4 linked regions of the Arabidopsis thaliana genome follow. The protein of the gene in region 1 purifies or fractionates together with the protein of each later gene. This does not show direct contact. Each region holds a gene or a part of one and is shown in the gene's direction. Other genes may lie near its edges.

Region 1 (7,927 bases):
CGACCGTCTTCACTTTTCCATTCTCTAGCGTCACCATCAACTTCGAGGTGCCTCCAGCTCCTCCTACTTCACTTACAACTCCTTTCTCCCTGTTTTTTTGGTTCCTCATTTGTTAGAGACTTGGAATAATTAAAGAAGTTCAATAGCAAAAAACAATATAATCTCATATACCATGAATCATCCGAGGCCTCGTGTATTTGAACTTTTTTTCCTTTCGCATCTTTCCCCAACTTCTTCAGAATCCAACTAGCGTCAAGCATTTCGTCTAACAAACTGTCTTCTCGTGACAGCGATACATCTTCATCTTCATTGAACGCTGACTTCTCAGCTGGAGGTGATGCTCTTTTCCTCTTTGACCTATGTCCTTTACCAGATTTACTTCTTTCATATACAATGCTAGGGGCTTCACTTTCTTGGCCCTCGGGATTATGTTTTTTTATTTTCAATTTCAACAATCGCCTTGAATCTTTCTGCGATGAATCATGCGAGCCACTATTTAAATCTCCTTTACCATCTGAGTGTCTCCCTATGAATCCGCCCTCAGCCTTTAAAGTAGTTACTTCACCTCGAGACCCTCTCTTTTCGTCACTATTCTTTCCCAGCAAGCTGCGACGCTCTTCCCGGGAAAACGTTTCCTCTGCTTGCAATTTTTCTTGCTTTCCTGTAATTACCAAAGCTCTTTATAAGTATGTCTATGTATACCAATTTTAAAGAAAGAACAAACCGAAAATAATCAGAGTGTATCTTTCTCATATAAGTTTACTGAACATGCAAAAATGACACTACACATACCATTTGATTTGGAGGCAGTCTTTGATACATCGCAGCTCGTAGAGTTTGTAACCCCTGTCTTTCGAGGACCTATACTTATCACCAACTTTTTCGCCTTCACAGTGCTCAGCTCTGTAGCGTGTTTTCCAAATTTCTCACTATCTGAATCTTGAGGCCTGCTACTTTTTATCCTGAGAACTCTCAATGGCTTCTCTTCTTCACCATTGACCATAGCCTTTTCAGAAACTTTTCTTTCCACAGAGCCAGGCTGATTCATAAGAGGGGCACCACCAGTTTGCCCAACAACCCGAGCACTAGCTTTCAAGCTAGCAATTAGATCTTTATCAGCCATATCTTTTCGCTTCCAAATTTCTTGTACAGCATCTTCAAGATCCTTGACCTGGCATCATAAACACAAATCAGAAAAGAGAAAATGGGATAACCAAATTGTCATTCACAGCAATCAACTAGAACCTGGGACAAATATGAGATAGCAAAAAAGACTTAAGGACCCATGAAACACACCTGGTAGGATTCCCCACGACAAGTAGAACATTTGTATTGAAGATTCCCATCCACTTGAAACTGCATATATTTCTCATCGCTGCGATGGTAGCTTACAAAGTTAGCGTTATTTTAAAGTATTTGGATACACACTTGGGAGACATGCTTACAGGACACAGAAGTACAATTTCATTAACGATATGTACCTAATTCCATCACACTGGCAATGAACCCAGCGCTGGCAAAAGTCACAACACACCATTGGCGTTGCTTCCGAGTCCCTGTAAACCTACGTGATGAAATCAAAATAATTTGTCAATTCAAAGAATGTAAGAAAATTCTGCAAATAACTGCTTTTGCAATACAGATGTCTGGATAGTATAGGGTAACAACTCCAAAATACATAACTCTATTAATTATGGCCAAGAATATCTAAATATGATGCTTGGAAACAGAGCGCACGTTTTCCTATCACCGAGGAGGAGAATATGTAAATATACCTTCAAACATACAGGACAATAATTCCCCTTAACAAACAACCTTCCACAAGCATCACAACAAGTATGCCCCAAAAACCACCTGCAAAGTTTAGAAGGAATAATAAGAGATAGTGCACTTTACATGAATAAATTTCAAGTATCACAAGGCAAAAAGTTAAATACCGTAAGCTCTGGCCATTCCCAGGGACTGTAGACTCACAACTGTAACATTTGGTGTGCTTAGGACACAAATAGGGTCCAGAACTAACATTCTGTAATATTCAGAGATTAAAATAAACCAATTTGCAAAAGATAAGATAAGAACCTTATACAGACGCAATAAATACTATACCTTGTGCCGAGGATGTTGGCAATCACAATGATATGCATCATCACATCTTTTGCAGAACATAAACTTTTTTGGATCCCCTAAAGTCCCGCAGCCCTAAAGGAAAAATGATCAAAAGAATACAAATAATCAAGCAGCAGTCATACCTAGCCCAGCATGTAAAGAGCAAGAATAATCATTGAGCACAAAGTTGTGTCCGAACATACCTCACAGATTCGGCAAGATGGGCACGCCCAAGAGCTCCAATTAAAAAGATCTGCTAGCAAAAACCGGTATAAGAATCTAGGCAGAAAGACTCATAAGTCATAAACAATAGATTCCTATGAAACAATACCTCTATGTTGGGCCCAAGACTTCACGCAGTTTCTATGATACTTCTTCCCACAACATTTGCAAGAAAGCATCTTGGCTCTCTCACTCTTCCCAACTTCAACCAAATAGCACATGTGACATGTTATGCTTGCACTGTGATGATCATGATCTTCTTCATTGAGGTCTTTGACTGAAACCTACATAGAGAAAGACATAACATTGAATTAGTGTCTTGACGAGAATAGACTTCATAATCATCCAAAAAATCACAAGTAGTTTACATATAAATCATAGATTACAGAACCCGAAAAGACAGGACAACACCAAAACACATACACGAGATACAGATAATCAACATCACTGAAAACACGTTTTCTCACAAAGACAGATTCCTATAAACAAGTTCAATTCAATTGACATAGCAGTAACCCCTAACCACAAAAACAAGTTTCGCAAGTAAGAATTCGAACCTCTAAGTCGCCAGAACAATCATTCGCAGCATAAACTTCCACAGCCTTCTTCTGCAACACCAAGGTGCGTTTAGCTGGTACCAAATTCGATGATGCAGCAACAACCTCCATCGCCGAATCACTCCCAACACCAACATTTCTAGCCGCAATGCGAGGACCAGTATCGAAAACAGCAAGCTTAGGCACATGGATCTGAACGGTACCGTCCTTGGAAACCTCAGCATCCCAGGGGTTTCGCACGAACTCCTGAAGAGAATGGATCTCTTTGAGATACACATCCTTGACTTCATTACCATGAAGATTCCGAGAAAACCCCAAAACGCAGAAGCAAATTTTCCGGCTGCGGAGAAAGAACGAAAGAAAGAAGAAAACCCCCAAATTAGAACAATTCGATTAGTAAAAACAAACAAGCCAACGAGTAAAGGAGGCGCCAAAAGAAAGAAAAAAAAACATACCATGTAATTGGACAAGCTACGTGAAAGGCCATAGTCGGTTTTCAAGTTTTACGCTTTCGGGTTCGATTTTTAGGGATCTGACTTCTTTTCTTTTTTTCCTGAATTTTTTGTTAGGTTTCTGAATTAAATCACTCGTCCTTTATTGTGTAAATAATATAAACCTAGAGGTCCTTAAACGGAAATATTATGTTTTATCGGCCCGATCCGACCCAAACTGTATACACCAATAATAATATAACACGTGGAGATTCGATCTTTTTTCTTTTATGAAAAACGACGTCGTATTATATTTTGTTTGCCAGAAAGAAACTGAAGAACTCTTGACTGTCTCTCTGCGGCGAAAAAGAGAGCGAAGCTTGAAATCTCCGATTAAGCCATGAATGCTCCCGAACGATATGAGCGATTCGTCGTCCCTGAAGGCACCAAGAAGTAATTGAAGTTTCTATCACTCGAAATCATACTCGATAGTCCTCTTACATGTGCTAAACCCTCTCGATTTCTATGTTCTAGGGTTTCTTATGATAGGGATACGAAGATCATCAATGCTGCTTCCTTCACGGTTGAGAGAGAAGACCATACGATTGGAAACATTGTCCGCATGTACGTCTTTTTGTTGATTTTGCAACTCTTTTCTCAGAAAGAAGAAAGCCCTAATTTTTGTCAGCTCTGTTCTGAAATTTTTGTTTTAGGCAACTTCATCGCGACGAGAATGTCTTGTTTGCTGGATACCAACTTCCTCATCCTCTTAAGTACAAAATCATAGTGAGGGTAAGTTCCAAGTTTTTCAGTTGCTTCTACTGTAGAGCCTGTTGCTTTGAATTGGAAAGAACAATGCTATCCTCTGCGTTTTTTTCAGTTCATTGATTGACCTTAGGATCCAAAAGATTGGTTTAGGAACTTAAAAGTAGTGTATGGTTGTTTGGAAACCGTGAATATTTCTTGGTTTAAGCTTCTAGTGTTAACAGTTTCCTCTGGGATTACTGGTTGCTTAAGGACTTATAGAAAGATCTTGTATGTTGTTGTTTAATTGTGAAAGTGGTTTCTGTATGTAGATTCACACAACAAGCCAGTCTTCCCCAATGCAAGCATACAACCAGGCCATCAATGACTTGGACAAGGAGCTCGACTACTTGAAGAACCAGTTTGAGGTACATAAGTTTCTCTCTTCGGATATACTTATCTGATTATGTGGTTAATAAGCTAGACGAATATCAAATGCTATTGATGTTGTTTGATGTACCTGGTCTTATGGTATACCCTTCTGTGTTTTCAGGCAGAGGTGGCCAAGTTTTCGAATCAGTTTTAAGGAACTTGGAGTTCTCCATCAGCACATCGGGGAAAACGTTTTACATTGTCTTTTGCTAAGCACCAATCAAGACTAATAATGAGCTTGGGAAATTTTCCCTAGTTATGCTTTGTATAAATCAAAAACAAATCGGCCTGTAACTTCTTTTAACTCTATGTTTCAACACCATTTCAGGATGCTATGAAGTAATGCTTAGATTACCTCTTCTTTTTACCATTCTATCTACATAAACCGCTTAATGTTTGAACTATTGTACAAAGTCTCTTTAAGAGTTGTGATGGTGAAGCTACTACTCTTCCCAAGCTACTAAGTAAAGTGCATTTGTACAGATATTCACAGTATAGTGAAGTCATCATGAAGCCCTTCTAGCTGACCCCGAGTACGCTGCTGCTGAATAATTAACATTGATGTGTTGTGTGAGAAATCTGATCCTGAAAGAACGTCACCTATGGGACCAAGCTCTGGACATTGCTGCCAGTCGTTGAGGCCGGTGGTTAACCCACTGCTCGCTCTTCCCCCTCCTCTTCCTACAATCACCAGCCCATACTCTCCATCTAGTGATTTAAGAGCTGTGAAAGTCTCAGAGGAGTTGGTGAGATGCTTCTCCATGTAAGACACTCTTCCACCTCCAGCTATGTATCTTTCGTAGAACTCAGCAAAACATTCATCATCAAGCTTCATTTCCTCCTCTTGATCTACCACACTCGCTCTGTTCAGGATGCTGCTTCGTTTTTGTGCGTTTTGAGAGCTCTTGTCTTCCAAGAAACGTATAACCTTTAATTTCACAGCAGGATGTCGAGCCACTTGTGCAGCGAAGGCTAGTGCCTCTCGGTCGTCTCTGCCACCTATGAATATTATAGCAATGCCCATGGACGCTCCTGGTCTCCATGCCTCTTCTGTTTGCCCGAACGACCTATCCACAAGAATTCCTACTGAACATGGTGCGTTCTTCAGAATCTGCACACACAAATGCCAAATTATCTCTCTGAGAACTGAAAGAAACAGAGTATTACTGAGATGGAACAATTACCTTGCGGTTCACATGACGGAACCCAGCATGACCAGCATCGAGAGTACCATCAGGATTCAGCCGTTTATGGAACGGTAGAATTATAATGGAAACCATAAGTTCATCAGCCAAACCGCAGACGTCATGGGCCATGGTCACAAACGTGGACAACGCCAGCATCCGCCGCACTGTCACACCTTGTCCATTGCGGAGCTCTCCGTACCCATTCACAGCTGCCGTTATACTCTCTCTCATTTCCGTCACCGACCTATCCGTTACCGTCACTGAATCATTACTCTGACCGGCTCCTCCGCCCTTCTTCAGCGTGGCTGCAATCTCATCAGTCAACTCCACCATGTCAGTCGCATAGAATATGGAACCCGGCTCACGGCCACCATGGCAGATCTCCATAACGTTGAGCGTAGAACCAATGTTGTGGGGACCGTGGAGACCAATCAAGATCCGAAGTTCAGTTGTTGGATCGAGCCATTGAAGCGCCATGATGTGCACAGGCACCCGCTTTCTAGCGCGTTTGATGATGTCCATGACCACGAATGGGGAGTAGACCACCGTGAAGACAATGATAAATATGATCAATGCACCGGTCGTACTTTTCACCCTGTTAGTCTGCATTTGCATCAAACGAAAAAGAAAGAGAGTAAAGATCTTACTTTGATGATAGCTTAAATAACAAAACATAAAGAGAAAGCTTGATGGTACCCGAATGGCTAAAGCTGCCAAGTAGACATGAAAATGGCCTTTAGTGGTCAAAAGCAGTCCTAAGGATGCGGTTTCCGGGACATGATAACCGAGTAGTAAACCACACAAGACTGTTCCGGTGACTTTTCCGGCTATAACAGTGCCAAGAAGAGAAAAGAATCTTACCCACGCCATTTTGTCAGTAATGTCAAAGTTTCTCATGTGGATTATGAATCCAACCCAGAAGAAGAAGATAGGGTAGAAGACCGTGCTGAGCAAGTAATTGATTTTGTTGATGATCCATTTCGACATTCTTCCTTTGTTTGGAAGGAAGAGACCAGCCGTGAATGCACTGAGAATTGGGTTGTACATTGATTCAGGTGGCCAAGTTGGGAAACTGCAGATCAAGACGACAAATGCCAGGGACATAACAAGGTGTGACCCCTTGAGTGGTTTACCTTCAGGGTTCTCGTTGTTGACCCAATTAAGAAAGATTGGGGATACAATGGAAGTGAAAGTGACCTGAGCGAGGAAGAGGCAAAACATGAGGAGGGCTCTGAAGAATCTGTGGAGAGGACGAGCGAGAGGTTTCTCCGTAGGGAAGAAAATGAAGCCGAAGCAGTAAAGCAAGGTAGAGATCATGTCCGTATGGACACCTGCGGCTGATGCAAGTTTTCCAAGATCGGATTTTCTGATTTTGAGATTGGCGATGACGCGGGTTAGGATAGGAGAACCGGTGCTTGAGGCCATGAGGGAGAGGGCGAGGGAGAAAATGTAAGGAGAAGTTTTGGTATAGTGGAGGAAAGGAGTTGTGACAAAGGCGAGAACAAAGGTCGTGATCATGCTTGTGTAGGCAATGAATGCATCTTTGGTTGGTGGTCTGAGAAGAACGCTTGGATTCATCTCTAGACCCATGACAAACATATGGCAGATCATTCCAAATTCTATTATGTTGTTGAGGGTTATAGAGTAAGGCCCCGAGAATGCCCCTCGAAACCTTGGAATATTACCTAGAATTAGCCCTATCTGATGCATAGAAAATTTGAGTTAATATAGAAATCAAAAGAGATAGACAAAGAACAAAAAGATATTTGACATACAGCAAAGTCGGTGGTGAGGTAAGGTTGGCCTAGAGGCTTCATGAGATAATGGAGGAGAGTTCGGACGACGAAAATGGCAATGAATACAAGAATCTTCAATGCCTCTTCTGGCCTGTCTAGGTTAAGGTACCATTTGTCTCCACAAACGTTTTTTGTTGTAGTTGAATTCATCTTTTCTCTCTGTAGTTGCCTTATTCGTTCTTAGGGCTTATTGTAACGTGGGAGATGAAGAAAAGCTTTTCGATTTGTATGTGTGTTTCTTTTTTTCTTTTTTTCTGACTTTACAATTTGGTTTAGGGGTTTGAAAATGAAAGGATGTGATTGTTTTTACTCAGAAAATGGTGGAGACACTTGTGGATCCCTTTATTCACGTTCCTTCTCTCCCCATTATTCACCATTGACCATTCATGAAACAAAGATGACAAAGTTCAGACAAAATGTAAAATACACTACTTTAATATTTAACTACAATA
Region 2 (8,515 bases), on another chromosome or scaffold:
ATATTGAAAACCATTACAAAATGCAAATGCAGAGTCTGCAGGAAAGAAAGGAGCGGTATGGTTTCATTACATATTTATATGTTTCAAGTTTTCATGATGGGAAAGAACTTTATTCGTGTCTTTCTGCTACTTTCGTGTGAACTTCCGTCCATATCCTTAGCTCTTTGTTTGGTATTTACATTTCATACAGACGCAAAATGCTAGAGAAAAAATTAGCTGCTGCAGAAGTCTCTGAGGAAGAGCAAAATAACTTGCTAAAGGATTTGGAGATGAAGGAAACTGAATATATGCGCCGTCAGAGGCATAAAATGGGAGCTGATGACTTTGAGCCATTGACAATGATTGGGAAGGGTGCATTCGGAGAGGTAACATCTCTTTTATAGATCATAGTCTGTTACTCTGTTTTCTCAGCCTCTCATTGGCATGCATCATCTTGAAATGTTCTCTGTGATGCATCCTTCTTGAAAGGTCTTCTTAGGCCATTTTTTTTACCACAGCTAATTTTTCAAAAAAGTATGGCATGCTAATTTTTCTCTTTCTCTTTGCAGGTTAGGATCTGTAGGGAGAAGGGAACAGGCAATGTCTATGCAATGAAGAAGCTTAAGAAATCTGAGATGCTTCGCAGAGGCCAGGTATTTAAATTCCTTCAAGTGGCTTTCGTTTGACATTTGTTTAGTTGGTTGATGTGAATGTGGAATCTGATTTTCAGGTGGAACATGTAAAAGCAGAGAGAAATTTACTTGCAGAAGTTGATAGCAATTGCATTGTCAAACTGTATTGTTCTTTCCAAGATGAAGAGTACTTGTATCTCATAATGGAGTATTTACCTGGTGGGGATATGATGACTTTACTTATGAGGAAAGACACCCTCACTGAAGACGAGGCCAGGTTTTATATTGGGGAAACTGTCCTGGCTATTGAGTCCATTCATAAGCACAACTACATTCACAGGTCAGTGAAGCAGAATATATGATTTAGTTCTAGCTCCCATTGTTATTTTGTTCTAAACGTCTTTTTTTCTCCAATGTGATACAGAGATATCAAGCCTGATAATCTGCTACTTGACAAAGACGGCCACATGAAATTGTCAGATTTTGGATTATGTAAACCATTAGACTGTAGTAATCTTCAAGAGAAAGACTTTACAGTTGCAAGAAACGTTAGTGGGGCTTTACAAAGTGATGGTCGCCCTGTGGCGACAAGACGCACCCAACAAGAGCAATTACTAAACTGGCAGAGAAATAGAAGGATGCTTGTAAGTTTCACTTATTCCTCATCTTTTCTTCCAGAGATGTGGAGTAGTCCACAGTATCCAGTATATTTCGTTATTGAAAGCAAATTCTCTCCATTGATATAGACATCTATGTTAGATATGACTTACTAGGTTAAGGTCATTACTTTCAGGCTTATTCCACAGTTGGCACTCCTGACTATATTGCCCCAGAAGTTCTGTTGAAAAAAGGATATGGAATGGAATGTGATTGGTAGGTGAAGCCAACCTATTCCTATTTGTGGTCTTTGATTTCTTTGGTGTAAATAAATAATATGGGTGAATAATCTTGAGATTTAGGTGGTCTCTTGGCGCCATTATGTATGAAATGCTTGTGGGGTTTCCGCCCTTTTATTCAGATGACCCAATGACAACTTGTAGGAAGGTAATTAATCCATTCCTTTTTGAATCTTTCATTTTAATATTGAAGGCAGACTGGCGATTTCAAGTCTTACATTTAATTTTAGTCTTTTTGTATCTCTTTGGTAATTCTAATGTGGAAACTTACCTCTTCTCGATTCATTATCTTCCCCCTTATGCAGATAGTAAATTGGAGAAATTACTTGAAATTCCCAGATGAGGTTAGACTATCACCAGAAGCCAAGGATCTTATTTGTAGGCTTTTATGCAATGTTGAACAAAGGCTTGGAACAAAAGGAGCAGATGAAATTAAGGTGTTGTATGCGTTGTTCAACTTTGAGATTCAAAGTTCCCTTATGTAAGATCATTGTGTGCAATTCTTAAAAACGATTTGACTGGTTTCTTTCAGGGTCACCCTTGGTTTAGAGGCACAGAATGGGGAAAATTGTATCAAATGAAAGCTGCCTTTATTCCCCAAGTTAATGATGAGTTGGACACCCAAAATTTTGAGAAATTTGAAGAGGTAACACACTGATACTATCAGCTAATGATGTCTATAGTGAAATATTGGTGCAATATATGCCACCAAATGATGTGGCATGATGTATATACTGAAATATTGGTATCACAGATGATTTTTATGCTCCTGATAAGGAAAATAATGTATACTCTTCTTTGATTCCTTCTGGAACAGACTGACAAGCAAGTTCCAAAGTCAGCCAAGTCAGGTCCATGGAGAAAGGTACAGCATAAGCACTGACTTTTTGGCATTATGTACCATCAAGCTTTTTTTTTTTATCTAATAGAAGAGTGATCATACTTCAAAATTTATCTATAAGTGGGTTCCTTGAGATATGTTGTTCTTTGATGATACTACAGACGTAGCTTAAAATATTACATGCAACAAAGAGCTCAGAATGATGAAATTGGCTCAGTTTCTGTCACAGGCGTTTCTATCTTTGTACTATATTCACAAAAACGTGATTCACTCTTTTAGGTTCAAATTTTCTTATGGTAATTTAGAATTTGGAGCTGATTGGGATGCTACTAACAGAATTATGTTGTTAATCTGCCAGTTCTGCATGTTGACGTGTGTTAGATGAATCACTTATCTTTTTGGACCAACATGATATAACTTAGAACCTGTTCTGTCAATAGAATTTATGTCATGAACCAAAAGGATTCTTGTGAATTTCATAACATGACGCTGGCTTTCTTTTTTTCTTCTCCAGATGCTCTCATCCAAAGACATTAACTTTGTTGGTTATACTTACAAGAACGTAGAAATCGTAAATGATGACCAAATACCAGGGATAGGTAATTCACTTAACCCCCCTTCCGTTGCTGAGGAAGAAGCAACAATACTAGATTACCTTGTGATTATCATCGCATGTTTGCTGCATTTGTAATTTGTTTTATTGTGCAGCTGAGTTGAAGAAGAAGAGCAATAAGCCAAAAAGGCCGTCTATTAAATCTCTCTTTGGTAAATCATCTGTTTGTATGCTATTTGTAAAATCAAGATGATTACGATCCATGTTTGATTCTCTCTAACCAAACTGTGGAAACTAAATTAACAGAAGACGAAACATCTGGTGGGACAACAACCCACCAAGGAAGCTTTTTGAATCTACTACCGACGCAGATTGAAGATCCAGAGAAAGAAGGTAGTAAGTCGAGCTCATCCGGGTGAATTTCATTTGACACATTGCACAGCCTGAACCAGAAGACTCTTGTTATATTAACATGTGTGTTGTTGATTTCGTTGAAAGCCTTTTGCTTTCTCTAAACGACTGTTAAAAGTTGGAGTTAGCAGGGGTTTTTCAACAAAGTACAGTCTCTCCAGTGGAAGCGAAGGCTCTCCCAGAGGAGAAAGATGGATTTGTTTAATTGTTTTCAACATAGAAAAGTGAAAAAGTAAATATTCTTTTCGGAATTGGCTTGTTTATTTATTTTCACAGGGAGAGAAGGTGAGCTTTGGTATTTGATTTTTTTTTTTTTGGTTAATCAAAACTTGGTTGTACTACTAAACCTCAAGATGAAATCTTCACCCTCTAATGCTATAAGCAAAAGTATTTACTATTTATTAGATTAGAAAAAGCGCCAATCTGAAAAACTGTTCTCACTGAATGTGTTTAATTGAGTACACTCAAGAGTGAAACAGATGGCTTAATGGCACCTCAGATTTGGTGCTAAAAGTCTACAGTCTACACTATATGTAGGCCTTTGGAACCAATTGCGTGTGAAGACTGAAGACTAAAAAGTGCATACAAAAGAAGTAGAGAACAAATGTACCTCTATGAGTATTCGTAGGCCCTTAAGAGACCTTCTTCAAATGTCAAAATAGTATAAAAAAGAAAAAAGACTAAGTGTGGCTGCTGGGATTCGAGCCCAGGTCCCCACGGCCACAACGTGGGATTCTAACCACTAAACTACAGCCACTTTTGTTTGTATTCTGTAGATTGATAATGATTAAAGAATCCACAATTGTTAGCCAAATTCCAAGCTTCTTGCCTTAACTTCTTTATTATGTGAAACGACCACGTTTTCATTTTATGATCTACTACTTCGGGTACACCGAACGAACCGGTCGGTTATTTCGGATTTAAATATTAACCGAAAACAATTAGCAGATAAAGGACTTGAAGAAAGATAGGGTTTAGATCTTCTTCTTCTTCTTCTTCTTCTTCTTCTTCTTCTTCTTCTTCTTCTAGTTGCTGCGAAACTCTGAAAAAGATGCAGGTATGTTCTCGATCCGAAACCCTAGCTTTTGTTGGTAAATTGGAAGAAGAAATAACCTAATTAGCTTCTTCTACCTTTGATTCTCTGTCTGTTTAATTTATCTATGTCGAAGAGAATTGGCTTAGACGAAATTAGGTCGATTTGTTTCTTATAAAGCATATATAGATGAAATCGGGAACAATTTGCTTTAAATTTAACATCTTTTGGTTTGGGTTTTTTTCTTTTGCAGGCAAGTGATAGGTTTAACATCAATTCTCAGCTTGAGCATCTTCAAGCTAAATATGTTGGAACCGGTCATGCTGATTTGAGTAGATTGTGAGTTTCTTTTGATTTTAGTGTTCAAATTTTTATATGCATTGTTTTTATTGGCTACTAATTTGTGGAATTGGTTTAAATGGTACAGTGAGTGGGCTGTGAACATTCAGCGTGATAGTTATGCTTCATACATTGGTCACTACCCTATGCTTTCATACTTTGCTATTGCTGAGAACGAGTCTATTGGACGAGAACGCTACAATTTCATGCAGGTTTGCCTCCTTTCATGTCTTTTGCATATTACTTTCTCTAGTGACAAATCTACAGTTCAAGATTTGGATTATGATTCTATGTTTATTTGATTAGGTGCGTATCATATGGTTATGTAACTTATGTTGCCTTCCAGATTTATTGCTTTGTTGTATGGTTTTTAGTTTACTGTTAAATGTCGTATTTGTCTATTCGTCGTGATATTTTGATTTCTTAGACCATGGACTTCAGTTTTGACTGACTATTTCAGCAGCCTCTAGTTCTGTAGGATACAATTATATTAGAGAGCGTTGGGTCATGGTCTTACTCAACTCGGTTGGTTTCGGTTTATTCGCCTCTTGCATGGTTGAAATGTGTGATAGGTTAGAATTTCATGTAGGTTTGCTTCCTATTCTCTGTGTTAATAGGAATCTTATCAGTAAAATTCTGTACTTTCCTTTTGCCTCATCCTTTATCTAGTGACAAATCTACAGTTCAAGGTTTGGATTATGATTCTATGTGTAGTCGATTAGGAATGTATCATTTCGTGGTTATCTTGTGGTATATCTCATTCCTTTTCCTTTTCAGATTCATTGATTTGTTGTATGGTTTTAGTTTAGGTCTTGTCAATGGCGTATTTCTCTATTTGTCGTGATATGTTGATTTCCTAGACTATGGACTTCACATTTCACTGACCATTCAGCAGCCTCCAGTTGTGTAGGTTACAATTAGATTATAGAGCATTAGGTTATGGTGTGGTCTCTCACTCAAATGTTTTCATTTGTCCTCAATTCTCAAATTAATGGAAGCTTAGTTCCTTTCACAAACAGTTGTGAGCTCGCCTTGGCTTTCAGTTTTTTCATGAAACAGGTCTCTTACATGGTTGAATAATCTTGTGATAGCGATCTCTTATATCTGAATATATGGTCTTCTTGAGGGTTAATCGAAAAGCATAGAAAAATATGAATATTTGTGGGGTGTTCTTTGCTCAAAAAATTGGTTACACTTTGTAGATGTGATGATGTTTTGGAATAACTTGAGATGTCTTTTGATTTCCAGAAAATGCTATTACCCTGCGGCCTTCCTCCGGAAAGAGAAGAGGAATAGGTGACATGAGGATTCGATTTGTCTTTCAAGTTATCAAGAACTCGTGTGATGGAATGTTGGTTTGGAGTTTTAAAAACTGTCCAATTTGATCTTCTGGTAGAGATTTATATGACTGTTAAAAAACAACTTTGTCTGTGTAAGTTTGCTTTTCTTGAATGTAAAAAACAAAACACCTTGGATTTTTAGGTTGGTTTTACACGGTTTCGTGTTTTAATCAAATTCATCAAAATTTTCAATTTTTGAACTATCCAAAAACCCGAATAATCCGACATAACCGTTATTGCATGCCTAGTTTGATTTGTTAAAAGTTCCCGACATAAATTCTTACCGTGGGATGTCCAAACGACAAGAAAACAACGGGTGTGACAAATGGACAAATAAAAGCAAAAAGCTTAGGCCACTTAAACCAAAAGCCATTTCATCAAACGTATTCTAAAATCTAAACTATAAATAATGTAATATCGTCAACGATGGAAGCCTATAAACACTATAGTTGATATAATCATACGCATCTATTATAAGCTTGCTTACTTATGGATAATTTTTCTTATTCTCTTTGACTTATTTTTGCCTAGTTTCATTGACCATCATAATACTTTAACAATACCGAAAGTTTCATAAACATTATAAAACTTTAGTCATTGTATACAATCCGAAAGTTTCATAAACATTATAAAACTTTAGTCATTGTATACAATTATCAATAAGTTTTGTTTCCCATGCATGTGAAATATCACTTGACTCAAGATGAATGGTCCTAACACGTTTACCTTTAGAGACACATGTTAATTTTCATATTGAAAATGAAAGTAAAAACAAAATGCTTAATATAGCATAGAAGAACATTAGCTATCCTACTAAATTACCATATAGAAGAAACTCATGAATTTCACACTGTGTTCATGAGTTCATCGAGAAGATCTACTAACGACATGTAAACTGGTTATTAAGTATGAGCTTGATTTCTCAAGACTCATCAACAAGTGTTCCATGTATCGACGTTACCAAGCGTTCGGGAGATCCACAAGTAAATGGATGCTTTCTTTTTTAAATTGTTTGAACTTTTATAAAATCAGGTCCTTTACATGCACTTCCAGAATCTGTCCAAGCGAGAGATCATAAGATAGAACAAAGTGATAATATGATAATATTGCGCTAGTACACGATTTGTTGACAGTTTAAATCCAAAAATGTTCATCAACATATTGGTACGATTAGTAAATGAGTAAAAAAAAACTTAAATAAATCAATGTAAATTGGGTGATGTATGTAGACTTAGGTATTGCACTAACTTGATTTTATTGATTCACAAAGTATAGTATTTATACAAGAGAGACATCTTATGAGATATACTCTAATCCCTAAAATATAGGACATAACTCTATCACAAGATATATAGTGATAATCTTAATGAGATTATACTCTATCCCCAATAATGTATCAAAATATATAAACGTAAAATGAAAATTTCAGCTTGAAAAATGACAAATGTAGAACTTTTTTTTTTGGTGGTAGATTCTGTTTTTAATAAAAATATATTATAAAGTTTTGCAAACTTGTTTCGTGTTGTTGTTGATTAAGTGATGTTTATGGTTATTACGAATTAGAGTTTTGGTCGTTAGAAAACAGAGAATTTAAATGTTAAACCGTGCACGAAAACAACTAATTTTTTCTTCTAAGTAATTAAAAAAAAAACAGTATACAAAAATAAAATAAAAAGATTCAATGAATGATAAATATTTACGTTGAAGTTTTGTCTTTCTTTAGGTTAAATTCAATTTTCACATATTCATTTCTTTATTATTCCCTTCTTCTTCTTTCTCTTTCTCTTTTCTTCCGCAAATCTCCGCAAAATCTTCCCTCAAACTCAGATCCGATTCTTCTAATTCTTTGTCCCCCCAGAGATTCTTCTTCTTTCTCCAAGTAAAAGAAAACAACTTTCTTTCTCTTTTCTTGCGAAAGTCCTCAACTTTCACCACTAAATCAGCTTCCTTCAATCACTGTGTTTGCTTTGGACCCAGTTTCTGATTTAGCGACTAGGGTTTTGATTGGAACCGTATTAAGTATATGAGAATCGGGTTTTACTGGTGAATCGGATTATCATCGGAATTCGGAAAAAGATGGATCGGAATCAAAAGATGGATCACGTTATCGGCGGGAAGTTTAAGTTGGGTAGGAAGCTTGGAAGTGGATCATTCGGTGAACTTTATTTAGGTATCAAATCAATCTATTCACATCTTGAGAGTGTTTACTAGTTCTTGCATTGGGTTTGTTTAGTTGTTGTTGAAGTGTAATCTATGTGTGTATGATTTAGGGATCAATATTCAAACTGGAGAAGAAGTCGCAGTTAAGCTGGTAATACTACGAATTTGTTTAAGTTATTTCATTCAAATTTTATAGATTTTGTGCTGAGGAAGGTTTCAATTTTGGATAATGAATCAATGTTATTTGCAGCTTGTTTTAAGTGAGACTAGTTTTGATTGGGAATAGAAGTGTAATTTGCAGCTTGTTCTCTTCTTATTCCTGATGGTTGCT
Region 3 (7,784 bases), about 11 Mb from region 1:
TTATTGTTTTTAATGCAGATAGTAAATTGGAAAAATTATTTAAAATTCCCTGATGAGGTTAGGCTATCACCAGAAGCCAAGGATCTAATTTGTAGACTTTTATGCAACGTAGAACAAAGGATTGGAACAAAAGGAGCAAATGAAATTAAGGTACTTTGTGCTTTATAATTCGAAGTTCCCGTGTCTAAAGACTATCGATAAATGCTTAAATAAACGCTTTCTGCTGGTATTTTTTGTAGGAACACCCTTGGTTCAGTGGTGTCGAATGGGAAAAGTTGTATCAGATGAAGGCTGCTTTTATTCCCCAAGTTAATGACGAGCTGGACACCCAAAATTTCGAAAAATTCGAAGAGGTAAAAACTAAAAGTGTTCGGATCAGAAAAACCGTTTGAAATGATAAGGCAACGGTCCAATGATGCGTATGCAGCTGTTGATATAGAAACTAATATAAATTCTTCTGTAACAGACTGATAAGCAAGTTCCGAAGACGCCAAAATCAGGTCCATGGAGAAAGGTACAAAATATTCTTGCTTTCATGTCTTTCTATGAAATGAAAACTTAGCTTGAAGTCATGCATATGAACTAATACTATGTGTTGTCATTAGCATTCTTAACATAAGAGTGTCTTTGTGTTTTGTTTTCTCTCCAGATGCTCTCATCCAAAGACATAAACTTTGTGGGTTATACTTACAAGAACGTTGAAATCGTAAACCATGATCAATTACCAGGGATAGGTAGATCTCACTTACACAACAAATTTGACTTGTAAGTAAACATATTCCATGTTTGCTCTGTTGTAATTTGTGATTGTGTTTACTGTTGCAGCTGAGCTGAAGAAGAAGAGCACAAAGCCAAAGCGGCCATCAATTAAATCCCTCTTTGGTACTTATCTAAAAGACATTTATCACAATCTATTTCAACTCATTGTCTGATATTAGCATATGGTTTTAGCACTAACAAGAATTGTTATAAAAACATTTGGCAGAGGATGAATCAGCCAGTAGCACCACAAGCCACCAAGGAAGCTTTATGAAACTCTTGCCAACACAAATCGAAGTTCCAGAGAAAGAAGACAAATCAAGCTCATCTAGTGAAACCCTATCATCTTCCACCACACGTTTCGACAATGCCACATCCTAAACCAGACTCTTTGCTACACTTTGGTCCCGGTTAACACACCAAAACACGGTTTGAGGTGGCGGATTTACGGTTGGAGATAGTACAGTTTCCATTGTGGCGGTGAAGGCTATTGTGTGAGAAGATTAAGGATTTGTTCAACAGTTTCTACATAGGATAATATTTGGTTGTTCAAAAGGTTTAGTTTGAAGCAAAAGGAAGTAAATAGTCATTTTCAGAATGTGGTTTTATTTATTTGTTTGATTGTTTTGTTTGGGTAAAAATCAAATTTGGTTTGTTTACCACACAGTTCTAAAGCGGACAATGGGAAAAATGTCAAAAAAATCATGAACTTTCAAATTTGGGACGAAAAAAACATGAACTTCCAAAATGCCATTAAAATCGTAAACTTTTGTTTGACTTTTGATAAATAGTCAAGTTTTGTTGACTTTGCCATTTTGAACATGTCGTTAAGTTTTCGTTAACAAAAAGATAACGTGATTAATTTTCTGTTAATTTTTTCTGTTAAAAGCGAAACGACGTCGTTTTGAAATTAAAGAAAAAAACAAAAAACAAACACCAAGTAGAGTTGAACTGGTGACCTTTTAGGTGCTATTGAAGGACTAAAACCATTGAGCCACGTTAACTTTTTAGAAGTATAGTAAACATATACATATATATATATATATACGTAACTAATTAAAAATAACCAACTAAAATAAATCAATAATATAGAAAATTACCTAAAATTTACACAATCCTTCTCATATGAATATAGGATTAATCTATACATGCACATAGAATTTCATTCAACTTCACTTTATATATAATTTTATTTATAATAAAACATATATTTTATAAATTAATTTGATAAATATTTAATAAAAGAAAAATATAAGATCATTATTCCGTCTTCAAATCAATTTTTTTATTCATAATTAGATGGAAAGTATATAAAAAGTTATTTTTTGGTAATATATTTATAGGTGTTATATTTCACAAGTTTGATTTTTATATAATTTAAGAGAATTTTTTTTTAATTCAATACGTTTAATAAAAAAATTTACATTGTTATTTGAGAATATATATTAATGGTAGGTGTATTTAATATTTTTACATGTTTAGTTATTGTTTTTATAGTTCGGTTTTTATTTGGTAGGTGCATTTTTATAATTTACATCATTTTTAATATTTTTATTTGCCATTTTGGTTAATATGGAGGATTTGGAAGAGCCGGAATGATTTAGTCTTCAACAAAAAAGCAATCGCTGTCGCTGATGTGATAAACCAAGCGATAATGGACACGAAAGAATGGCTGGATGTTAAGCATAAAAATGATGACAACGTCAAAGGGGGCCAAACCAAGTCCTCAAGAACGGACAAATGGCAAAAACCAGGAGCAGAATGGGTCAAATGCAATTATGATGTCTCTAACCATGCGGGAAGACAAGACTCAGGCCTCAGATGGATTATTCGAAACTCACAAGGAACCTGTTTGGACTGCGGCTGCGGGAAATTTCAGGGTCGACAAACAATAAAGGAAGCTGAATGCACTGCCCTCATATGGGCAATACAATGCGCTTGGGATTTGGGATATAGGAGAGTAGAATTTGAAGGCGACAACATCACAGTTAATCGCCTTATTCGAAACAAAGAAACTAATCCACGACTTCGATACTATTTGGAATTCATTCAACAATGGAGCAAAGCTTTCACCACTGTGAAGTTCACATTTCGACACCGGGAACAAAACGTTTGTGTTGATGTTCTGGCGAAAAAAGCAGTAGCTAATCATATAAATCATACTCTATATCATTTTTGTCCTAGATTTCTAATGTCGTTTGTAAACAAAGATGCTGAACACGTGAATTAATAAAGTTATTGGAAGGAAAAAAAAAAAAAATAGTTCGGTTTTTAATTAGTTTTGCGTATATATATATATATCAGTTTTCATTAATATCGAAATGTTATCATAGCATATTGGTTGAGCGCTTGTGATAATTTAGGAGGTTCACGAGTTCAATCCATTCTTGGCGCAAATTTTAATATATTTTTATTTTGAAACGACGTCGTTTCGCTTCTAACGGAAAATGTTAACGAAAAGTTAACTCCGTTATTTTGTTGTTAACGGAAATTTAACGACATGCCCAAAATAGTAAAGTCAACGAAACTTAATCATTTTATCAAAAGTCAGACGAAATTTTATAATTTTAGCGGCATTTCGGAAGTTCACGTTTTTTTTATCCCAAATTTAAAAGTTAATGATTTGGTTTGATTGAAATGTCCGGTTCTGGTTTGGTTTTCTTTTGTACCGGTTCTCATAATAATAGCCACGTATTAAAAATTTATTAGTAATGGATTTGGGCCAGACCCATTCTCAAAGCCCAATCAATTTCTCAGTGAAACATATATAAACCTAATTAAAGTGAAGCAGAAGTTGTATTCTTCTTCTTGCGAACTCGCTGAAGTCTGAAAGATGCAGGTTTGTCTCTCTCGATTCGAAACCCTAGTTACTTTTTTTTGTTCTTATCTCTAATTTTATACAATTTCTTGACGATTAAGCTAAGCGTAGCTGAAATCTGGGAACAATTTGCTTTAGTTCTTGTAAAGGTTAGGTTTTTAAGCAGCAGATAGTTATGTAATCTCACTTTTTTGTTTTTGTGCAGGCAAGTGATAGGTTTAACATAAATTCTCAGCTTGAGCATCTTCAAGCTAAGTATGTTGGTACAGGTCATGCAGATTTGAGCAGATTGTAAGTATTTTTCACTTTTTGTTTGGATTTTTCAGGATTCCAAAATTGTGAACTTATTGAAAATTTTGAATGTTTTTGTGTTAGTGAATGGACTGTGAACATTCAGCGTGATAGTTATGCTTCATACATTGGTCACTACCCGATGCTTTCTTACTTTGCAATAGCTGAGAACGAATCTATTGGTCGAGAACGTTACAACTTCATGCAGGTTTGTTTACTATCTTTCTTCTTGCATCATGTCAAGGAATCATATTGAGAATGTTAATGTGTTAGTGTCTTAAGGGAGAGGAACAATTAGGGTTGTTTCAAACAGGGTAAAGTGTTCCTGCTGCTCCCCTCTTTAGCTTGGAGAAGCCAGTAAATATCTTTCTCTTCAAGGAACTTGTGGGCCTCAAGAAAACCTGCTATAATTCTAGTTTTTCAACATTCCTCCTTCTGATATCAGCAACAACTCCTTACCCTTAAGAATGGAGAATGGAACTTCCTCAAAGATATTTACTTGGCCTCTGCAACCGGAAAGGGGAGCAGCATGAAACTCTTTTAACCCTTACCCTGTATTTGTCAAAAACAGATTGTATCATATCGTAAGTTAGCAGGAAACTACCAATCTTGAGGGTTGTTTCAAACTGTTATCTTCTGGTTCTTCTACACTCAAGAGTCAATGACTTTGCATTTTTGCTAATAGCTTTTACTAACTCCAAACTTCTTTGATTTTTTTTTTGCAGAAAATGCTCTTACCTTGCGGCCTTCCTCCAGAAAGAGAAGACGAGTAAGAGCTTGTGTGCATTTGAAATTAAAAAAAACATTCTACTTCTTAGAAGCTTGTGTGCAATCTTCTTTAACTGCTCCACCAATGTAATTGCCGAAAAGGCTTCTTCTTGTTTCTAGTTCATAATGCAGTTGTTGATCATGATCTAAACATTTGTACTTTGTTATAGTCTTGATACAATTGTCAAACTCAAAGTCTTTTTGCTACTCGAACAACTATTGCAAAAGAATTGAATTGAACAAGTCATAAAAAAAAGAGGTTAAAAGTTGGAGTATTTAAATGAATGACGAAAATAAAAATCAAACCTTTATGTTTGCTAATGGTGAATCTCTGAGAAGGAGACAAAGATGAGTTCATCAAAAGCCCTAATCAAAACCCTGATTAAGAATCCAACTCGAATCAAATCCAAATCTCAAGCGAAGCAGCTTCACGCACAATTCATCAGAACTCAATCACTCTCTCATACATCAGCTTCAATCGTAATCTCAATCTACACAAACCTTAAACTTTTGCACGAAGCTTTGCTTCTTTTCAAAACCCTTAAGTCTCCTCCTGTTCTAGCATGGAAGTCAGTAATCAGATGCTTCACCGACCAGTCTCTATTCTCCAAGGCGTTAGCTTCGTTTGTGGAAATGCGAGCTTCTGGGAGATGCCCAGATCACAATGTGTTTCCTTCTGTTTTGAAATCGTGTACGATGATGATGGATTTGAGATTTGGTGAGTCTGTTCATGGGTTTATTGTTAGGCTTGGTATGGATTGTGATTTGTATACTGGTAATGCGCTTATGAATATGTATGCTAAGCTTCTTGGTATGGGTTCTAAGATTAGTGTAGGTAATGTGTTCGATGAAATGCCTCAAAGAACGTCCAATTCTGGAGACGAAGATGTAAAGGCTGAAACTTGCATTATGCCTTTTGGAATAGACAGTGTGAGGAGGGTTTTTGAAGTGATGCCTAGAAAGGATGTTGTGTCGTATAATACTATCATTGCAGGGTATGCACAGAGTGGAATGTATGAAGATGCTTTGAGAATGGTTAGGGAGATGGGAACTACTGACTTAAAGCCTGATTCTTTTACTTTGTCTAGTGTGCTTCCGATATTTTCTGAGTATGTGGATGTTATTAAGGGGAAAGAGATTCATGGGTATGTGATTAGGAAAGGGATTGATAGTGATGTATATATTGGGAGTAGTTTGGTTGATATGTATGCGAAAAGTGCTCGGATTGAAGACTCTGAAAGAGTGTTTTCTCGCTTGTATTGTCGGGATGGTATCTCGTGGAACTCGCTTGTAGCTGGGTATGTACAGAATGGTAGATACAATGAGGCTCTGAGATTGTTCAGGCAAATGGTGACCGCAAAGGTTAAGCCAGGGGCTGTGGCGTTCTCAAGTGTGATTCCTGCTTGTGCTCACCTAGCCACCTTGCACCTTGGGAAACAACTTCACGGATATGTATTAAGGGGTGGCTTTGGCAGTAACATATTCATAGCTAGTGCACTTGTTGATATGTACTCGAAATGTGGGAATATTAAGGCTGCTAGGAAGATTTTTGACAGGATGAATGTACTCGATGAAGTATCATGGACGGCTATTATAATGGGGCATGCGTTACATGGTCATGGGCATGAAGCAGTTTCGTTGTTTGAGGAGATGAAACGACAAGGAGTGAAACCGAATCAAGTGGCATTTGTTGCTGTACTAACGGCTTGTAGTCATGTGGGGTTGGTAGATGAGGCATGGGGATATTTCAACAGCATGACTAAGGTTTACGGTTTAAACCAGGAGTTAGAACATTATGCAGCTGTAGCGGATCTTCTAGGCCGTGCAGGGAAGCTGGAAGAAGCATACAATTTCATTTCAAAGATGTGTGTTGAACCAACTGGTAGTGTCTGGTCTACCTTATTGTCTTCTTGCAGCGTTCACAAGAATCTTGAGTTGGCTGAGAAGGTAGCGGAGAAGATATTCACTGTCGATTCTGAAAACATGGGAGCTTATGTTTTGATGTGCAATATGTATGCGTCTAATGGAAGATGGAAAGAAATGGCGAAACTAAGATTGCGTATGAGGAAGAAAGGATTGCGGAAAAAGCCAGCTTGTAGTTGGATCGAAATGAAAAACAAGACTCATGGATTTGTTTCAGGAGATAGATCGCATCCGAGTATGGACAAGATCAACGAGTTTCTTAAAGCTGTAATGGAACAGATGGAGAAAGAAGGGTATGTTGCAGACACAAGCGGCGTGCTTCACGATGTAGACGAAGAGCATAAGAGAGAGCTTTTGTTCGGACACAGTGAGAGATTGGCTGTTGCCTTTGGTATCATCAACACAGAACCTGGCACGACAATTAGAGTCACTAAGAATATAAGGATATGCACGGATTGTCATGTCGCAATCAAGTTTATCTCGAAGATCACGGAAAGAGAGATTATCGTTAGGGATAATAGCAGATTCCACCATTTCAACCGTGGAAACTGTTCTTGTGGAGATTATTGGTAATAATGAAGTGTGAAACTTTTTTGACTTCATCTTTTGTTCAGAGACAGAAACGACGTCGCATAGGGAACATATGTTTCATTACACTTATTGTAGTGTTCAACCAATTTATATATTTTTCTATCTCTATAATTTTCTTATAATTAGGAAAAATTAGAACAAATCATGTGGAAATAGACCTAACAATAAAGTATTGTTTTAAAAGTAAAGTGGAATTTGCATGAGTTTTTTTTTGTATTTATTAAACAAACAATATATGGAATGTTTGGACATAAATATATATGATCTGTTGTGTATACAACAACAACAGACAGAAGCTGACCCATGCATACAAAATTTTCACATTATTATTCATTGCCCATAATAAATCATGGCCATTGGATCCCTTTTTGGCACTATGAACATTCATTTTCTATGTAGTGGAAAATCGACTAGTCGTTATACTATTATAAAATATGTTCACTATATATAAAAACCAACAGAATGGATTTGATTGTAAGTCAGTTTTTTTTTTTAATACCACTAAATTATTGCTATTTTTTTTTATTGCAATGTCAATTGGTGATATAGTTCATATTTTTACCGTAGTGGTAAAAAACCCCGAAATTTAGTGTATACATAAAATAGGTATTATATTTCTTGGATCGTTTATATT
Region 4 (5,551 bases), on another chromosome or scaffold:
GAAATCATGGCTTCCCTCGTATTGAGCTAACAGATCATCTTCTTTGTCATCATCCATACTATTAATAAGTGCAGATAGCTCATCATCTGATCCATCAGCTCCACCCAAAAGTTCCTGCTCTTCCAGTTCCCTTTCCAAAATTTTAGCCTTTTTCAGTTCATCTTTAGCTTCCGCAAGCTTCCCTTCACGTTTCAGCGTAAGGGCTTTTCTCTTAAGGGCAATTACCTGACTCTTGTCAATACCCCCAGTCTTCTGAGGATTAGCACTTCGCGGAATTTCACGGAGAAGAGACGAAAATTCGCCCTCCAAACTTATAGTTGCTGGTTTCTTATCTTCATCGTCAGACCACCCAAGCTCCCTCAGGTCAGCTGCCAAATCATCATTTCCTTTACCCCCTTGACGTAGAGGCTTTTGTGATTTGCTAGATTCTTTGGTAGCAGCCTTGTTCTGCGTCTCAGCAACATTTCGCATAGACAGTTCCCTTTTCCGGTTCCTTCTTAAAGATATCTCTAATGCGTCGGCCTCTCTCTCAAGTTCCCTCCCTCTCTTAAATGCTTTTAGAGCTTCATCAGATTTCCCTTCTCCTTTAAGAATTCTGTACTTATTCTTCGCTTCTACTGCTTGTTTACGCAATTCTTCAGGACTAGCATCCAACTCCATACCTTTATTACTACTGCTACTTGCCATTTCTTTAGAAGCATTCCTGTCTGTGCTAGACACAGATTCAGATGAAGAAGATACATCAACATCAGAGCCTAGAATCTCACTGAGAACATCATCCTCATTCTTTACAGTCCTTTTCGAGCTACCTCCTGAACAAATTCACAATCTCTTTACATCAAAAACTAGCAGATAACACAAAAGTGTCATAAATAAGATCACTATAGGTACATAAATACCTTTAGCAGCTCTATTTTTGTAACCATGACGCAACTCAAACCGTGCAGCTTCTTCAATTTTCTTACATGGTTCACATATACGCACAGGTGAGTCACCTTGTCCACGTAGTGACAACCTTTGCTGAGTGCAGGTTCCACAGAACAATCCCCCACATCTCCGGCAATGATGCTGCTCGCTCAAAAAAACAAAGCCAACAGAAACTAAGAAAAATTAAGCAAATTCAAAGGTTTTTGGGAGACATAGAAGAATCCAGCAAGTCACAAGTCTAGTAATACACAAACCACAAAACATCCAGATTCACCAAATTTACTCAAAAATATGGAATCTATCAAATAGGCACATCACCAGAAACCGATCATTCAGTGAAGTTTTCCGATAAACAGATTCTGAATTAGATCTCGAAGAAGAATCGACTAAGACGAAACTAAATTTCGATCGAAGAAACTAAGAATCTAAAGATCGCGATAGCAATAAGCAAGTACCAATTGATAGAGAGAGTAAGGAAATTAAGAGAGAGGAAGACCTTGCGATTGATGAAAGTGAATTGAGAAGAACATCCTTGACAATGAGAAGCATCAACGACCCAACTATTTCCTCTTAGAGATGGCTTCGGCGGTAATCCGATCTTCTCCAACATTTTCCCGTCTGATTCTTCTTCTCCTCCGCCGCGAAACGAACTTGGTTTTGATTTTGATCTTACCGGAAATGTAAAAGATCGAGCAGATGAAGAAGAAGAAGAAGAAGAATACTTTTCCTCCTCTATTGTCAGATATAAAATAAATAATTTTAACTAATACGGTATCGTTTTAGCTAAAACACATAATAGGACTCAATATATAAAGCAATAATAATTAGACATGAAACTAATTTTTGCTTTGAGACGAGAACGAAGTTAGAAAGAGACAAGCCCTAAAGATCGCTTTGAGACGATAAACTCTTAAAGTTTCGATTCGTTCACGATGATCGTCCCTGTTCGTTGTTTTACTTGTGGAAAGGTTTGTTTTTTCTTCTCTCTTTTTGTACGATTTCGATTTGTTATATATATATGTGTGTGACAAATCTCTAGGGTTTGTAGTATTGAGATTTATGAAGCTTTTGTTTATGATTTTTTGTAGGTGATTGGGAACAAATGGGACACATACCTTGAACTTCTCCAGGCTGATTACGCTGAAGGGTAAGCGATATATAGTTTATGATTAGAAAAAGAATCATAATTTGTGAGAAATTTTTTTGGTGAACATGAGAGTGATTGAATCTTGGAATTTTGAACGTTTTCTGACATTTTCTTAGTTGAAATGAGAGTCATGTAAAAGATGAAACAATAGTGGAACATGACAATAGAATGATTTGATGGTTTTGTGTAGTCAAAGAGATTGCATGATCTTGTCTTGTATGATCATCTTGAAAGTTTATACATGTTTTAGCCTTGTTACTAAAAGCATGAAGTTAGATCATTGGGATTTTTCGATTTTCTTGTTTTAATCGCTAGTGTAATCTTTAGCCCGTTTGGTTCTAGGTGTTAAGCTACATGATTTGGAATTGCGCAATTTCGTTTTTGTTTTAGTTGCAATTTGATCATCTTGAAGTTCATAGATGTTATCTTAAGTGTTAGTAAAGAGCATGATGGTAGGTGATCACTGATATATTCCATTCTCTTGTTTCTATCTAATCTTTTAGCTACTTTGGTTTTAGGCATTATGCTAAAATTGCATTTTGTTGAACTGAAAATCTGAATTTTGGTTTTGGAATACGCAGGGATGCTCTTGACGCGCTTGGATTAGTCCGTTACTGCTGCAGGCGTATGCTTATGACTCATGTCGATCTAATCGAAAAGCTTCTAAACTACAACAGTAATATCTCCATACCCGGTTCTTTTGCCTTGTGTTGCCTCTGCTCTATTCTTTTTGTTAACTTGCTTATTCGAATACTTCTCTTTTGCAGCTATGGAGAAATCCGACCCCAATTAAAAAAAGATGCTATAATGAATAACAAATCATCAAGAGCTGAAGTGAAGGAGTGATGCATCTCATCCATGTGGGCGTCTTAATAAAACCACAATGTTTCAGAAATTTTGGTTTAATTTATAACTAGGAATGTTGATATTTCAATGTTTTCTGATGTTCTTGTTCGGTTTTAGAAATCTAGACAATTTTTCGAGCCAAAAATAAAGCTCAAGCCTGTAGAGTCATCATCTATTGATTTGTTTTTGGTAATCTAATCCTGATAAATAGTAAAGATCACACATTTGATAAGGTTCAAATCTACAATCTAGATCACGAGTAGGAAGCAGCTCTTTTTGTACGATATCAAATTGGTAATGAGAACAGAGCACATAAAAACAATTTGAATGGAGCTCCCATTTTATAACCGGAGAATATCAAAGTTTTTTAGTTACAAGTGGTTGTATTAATTCAAGGAAACCATTTAACAAAAGAAATATAAATATTTATATTAAATATACACTATAATTAGTTGAATATATATTTATTTTGGATCAAATGTTTATTAAGATATATTTTTATTATAAAAATTTATTCTGAAATATGTTTATTGAACAATATACTGAACTTAACAAACCAAGGAGACTTTTTTTATTTTATTTTTTTTCAAACACAAACCAAGGAGACAAATATGAAGAAAACAAATTACATTTGAATAGAGAGGTAGAGCTATATAACTCACTGAATGCTTGGAAATATTGTCTATTAGTCTATTACAGATTAAGATTTTCTAAAAGAATTTGAGCCCGCTGAACCCAGAATTTGAGAGTTTGGCTTAGACTCAAATTCGAGTTTTTACCTAGTACGCATTCAATATGGAAAATGGTGCAGCACTCAACGCACCAATAGAACACTTTTGTGTTTGTGTCTCTTAAATTACGTTCACATACTTCGCACCAATCTTTTTCACGGACCTCTTCTTCCCATATAGCTGTGAGAAAGTGTTTGTCATGTTCATACCTTGCTCTATAGGGTAATGTAGCACACTTCATACAAACAATAAAATCACATTTGATGCAATTTAATTGATTATGACGTTCTGTTTTGCATACGCGACATATGAGTTTTCCGTCTCGGCCTACAAATATGAACAATGGATGTTTATGACCTTGGAAACAAAACGGCTCAGCAATTGAAGCACATTTTACATCTAGAGTGAAGATACATCCCCTTATGCAACACTCATAGACAAAGCCACGACAACCACGATTACAAGAACTGCATCCAAAACGATCCATACCATATCTACTTGCAGCTTTTAATGTTAGTGGATGAGGATGTAATGCATGTTGTAATATCCTGCAAAATTTTGCACATGTTTCATGGAAGATGAAATCATCACACTCCACACAAGAATAGAAATTACCTTCGAAAATAGGTAAATAACACGCTTGACAAAGTTTTTTTTCGTTATAAAGTATACTGACTTCGAGCCGGAAATGATGGTCATGGAGAAAATGAAGTATCACTTCCTTAGATATTATATTGAATGATCCAACATCTTGTGTAATATCATCTTTGTCTGGTAAACCTTCGAGATCTTTTCCATCCCACACATTTTTCTCTAGAGCACATCTCGAATGAACAGCATAATGACCACACTTATCACAAGTATATGCACCATAATCACCGTCAATAATTTGATGAAAAACTCCACAAGACCATTCACATGATCGTAGAGAAAAAGTGTAGGAGATACGATGGTTGTGACGTGATATCTTGATGACGCTTGGAGAGTACATACAATCACTATGAAACACAAAGTTGCATCTGACACATATGTAGGTGGGATATAGTTTTCTCACCAAACCACAAAAGTTGCAAGTTAAAGAAGTTTGTCTAGGAAAAAAAGTGAGAGGATGGTCGGCATGCCTTTTTGGTGGGTCTATAACAAAGGGTATTGGCTTCACTGCACATACTGGATGCATGAAAACGTTACATATGGTACAATAATATACCAGGAAGTTTACTCTTCTTCTACAGCATAAACAATTAATACTGTAAAGAAGGAAGTGAAAGTAAAGTTGGAGCGAATGCTGAGGGTGATAAGGGTGTTTGATTTTAAGTGGAGACTCGACGCATTCTTTGTGATACTTTTTCGTGCAAATGTCACAAAAATAATAGTCAGTGCCAAAATTTGAGTGACGGCATATATTGCATCCACCATCAATATCGAATTCTTTATTGTTGCACCAAAACAACGGGAGTACTGAATGATATGTAGCACTTCTTGTAGAGAAGACGAACTCGGGGGAAGAATTGAGCGGGAAAATATTCCCAGTTCTATCTTTAAATTTTCGTGCACTTGGGCATAAAAAAAGAGGTTGAAGAAGATGGTCATCGCTGACTGCTTCACCGGATGGAGATAGGCTATGTGTTTTTGGTTTGGGATGATACTTGGGATGATGATATTCCAGAAATAGGTTACCATCCTTTTCCTCCTCATGAAATCCACCGAAATCCATGGCTTCTCCTAGTCTTTGTTTACTATACTTCTGTTAAGATCTTTTTTTTTTATATAAATGCAAAATACTAGTTTTGAGAGTTTTCCACTATACATAAGAAAATCTGATACCAAAGGTCTCCTTCTACGTTTAATTATTGGATCCTTAACCGTGAAAATGAGTTGAATTATGTTCTTTTCTTTGTAT

The links.
Region 2: the proteins of NRPB11 (region 1) and AT4G14342 fractionate together in Arabidopsis thaliana (co-fractionation; one large-scale study listed by BioGRID). This does not show direct contact.
Region 3: the proteins of NRPB11 (region 1) and AT3G23325 fractionate together in Arabidopsis thaliana (co-fractionation; one large-scale study listed by BioGRID). This does not show direct contact.
Region 4: the proteins of NRPB11 (region 1) and AT1G61700 fractionate together in Arabidopsis thaliana (co-fractionation; one large-scale study listed by BioGRID). This does not show direct contact.

The regions. Positions count from the first base shown.
Region 1 is NC_003074.8:19,314,788-19,322,714, reverse strand, and holds NRPB11 (DNA-directed RNA polymerase, RBP11-like protein), read left to right. Parts: upstream 1-3,591; 5' UTR 3,592-3,716; coding exon 3,717-3,769; intron 3,770-3,850; coding exon 3,851-3,940; intron 3,941-4,029; coding exon 4,030-4,108; intron 4,109-4,214; coding exon 4,215-4,304; intron 4,305-4,392; coding exon 4,393-4,488; intron 4,489-4,613; coding exon 4,614-4,646; 3' UTR 4,647-4,866; downstream 4,867-7,927. Other genes in the region: AT3G52100 (RING/FYVE/PHD-type zinc finger family protein), read right to left, coding at 1-89, 172-661, 793-1,171, 1,297-1,375, 1,482-1,564, 1,776-1,854, 1,938-2,026, 2,107-2,199 and 5 more; chx28 (cation/hydrogen exchanger 28), read right to left, coding at 4,980-5,603, 5,677-6,282, 6,376-7,380, 7,455-7,625.
Region 2 is NC_003075.7:8,251,254-8,259,768, reverse strand, and holds AT4G14342 (Splicing factor 3B subunit 5/RDS3 complex subunit 10), read left to right. Parts: upstream 1-4,164; 5' UTR 4,165-4,363; coding exon 4,364-4,369; intron 4,370-4,598; coding exon 4,599-4,684; intron 4,685-4,772; coding exon 4,773-4,986; 3' UTR 4,987-5,269; intron 5,270-5,932; coding exon of another isoform or gene 5,933-5,980; 3' UTR 5,981-6,233; downstream 6,234-8,515. Other genes in the region: AT4G14350 (AGC (cAMP-dependent, cGMP-dependent and protein kinase C) kinase family protein), read left to right, coding at 1-55, 191-365, 549-632, 710-951, 1,036-1,255, 1,405-1,484, 1,571-1,655, 1,813-1,944 and 5 more; CKI1 (casein kinase I), read left to right, coding at 8,101-8,194, 8,295-8,335.
Region 3 is NC_003074.8:8,342,216-8,349,999, forward strand, and holds AT3G23325 (Splicing factor 3B subunit 5/RDS3 complex subunit 10), read left to right. Parts: upstream 1-3,554; 5' UTR 3,555-3,592; coding exon 3,593-3,598; intron 3,599-3,782; coding exon 3,783-3,868; intron 3,869-3,952; coding exon 3,953-4,076; intron 4,077-4,151; exon of another isoform or gene 4,152-4,441; intron 4,442-4,593; coding exon 4,594-4,641; 3' UTR 4,642-4,927; downstream 4,928-7,784. Other genes in the region: AT3G23310 (AGC (cAMP-dependent, cGMP-dependent and protein kinase C) kinase family protein), read left to right, coding at 19-150, 240-353, 467-514, 650-734, 826-882, 986-1,140; AT3G23320 (Polynucleotidyl transferase, ribonuclease H-like superfamily protein), read left to right, coding at 2,414-2,989; AT3G23330 (Tetratricopeptide repeat (TPR)-like superfamily protein), read left to right, coding at 4,985-7,132.
Region 4 is NC_003070.9:22,785,246-22,790,796, forward strand, and holds AT1G61700 (RNA polymerases N / 8 kDa subunit), read left to right. Parts: upstream 1-1,766; 5' UTR 1,767-1,859; coding exon 1,860-1,895; intron 1,896-2,015; coding exon 2,016-2,074; intron 2,075-2,655; coding exon 2,656-2,750; intron 2,751-2,841; coding exon 2,842-2,867; 3' UTR 2,868-3,135; downstream 3,136-5,551. Other genes in the region: AT1G61690 (phosphoinositide binding protein), read right to left, coding at 1-812, 900-1,068, 1,424-1,537; AT1G61710 (Cysteine/Histidine-rich C1 domain family protein), read right to left, coding at 3,614-3,978, 4,267-4,649, 4,871-5,331.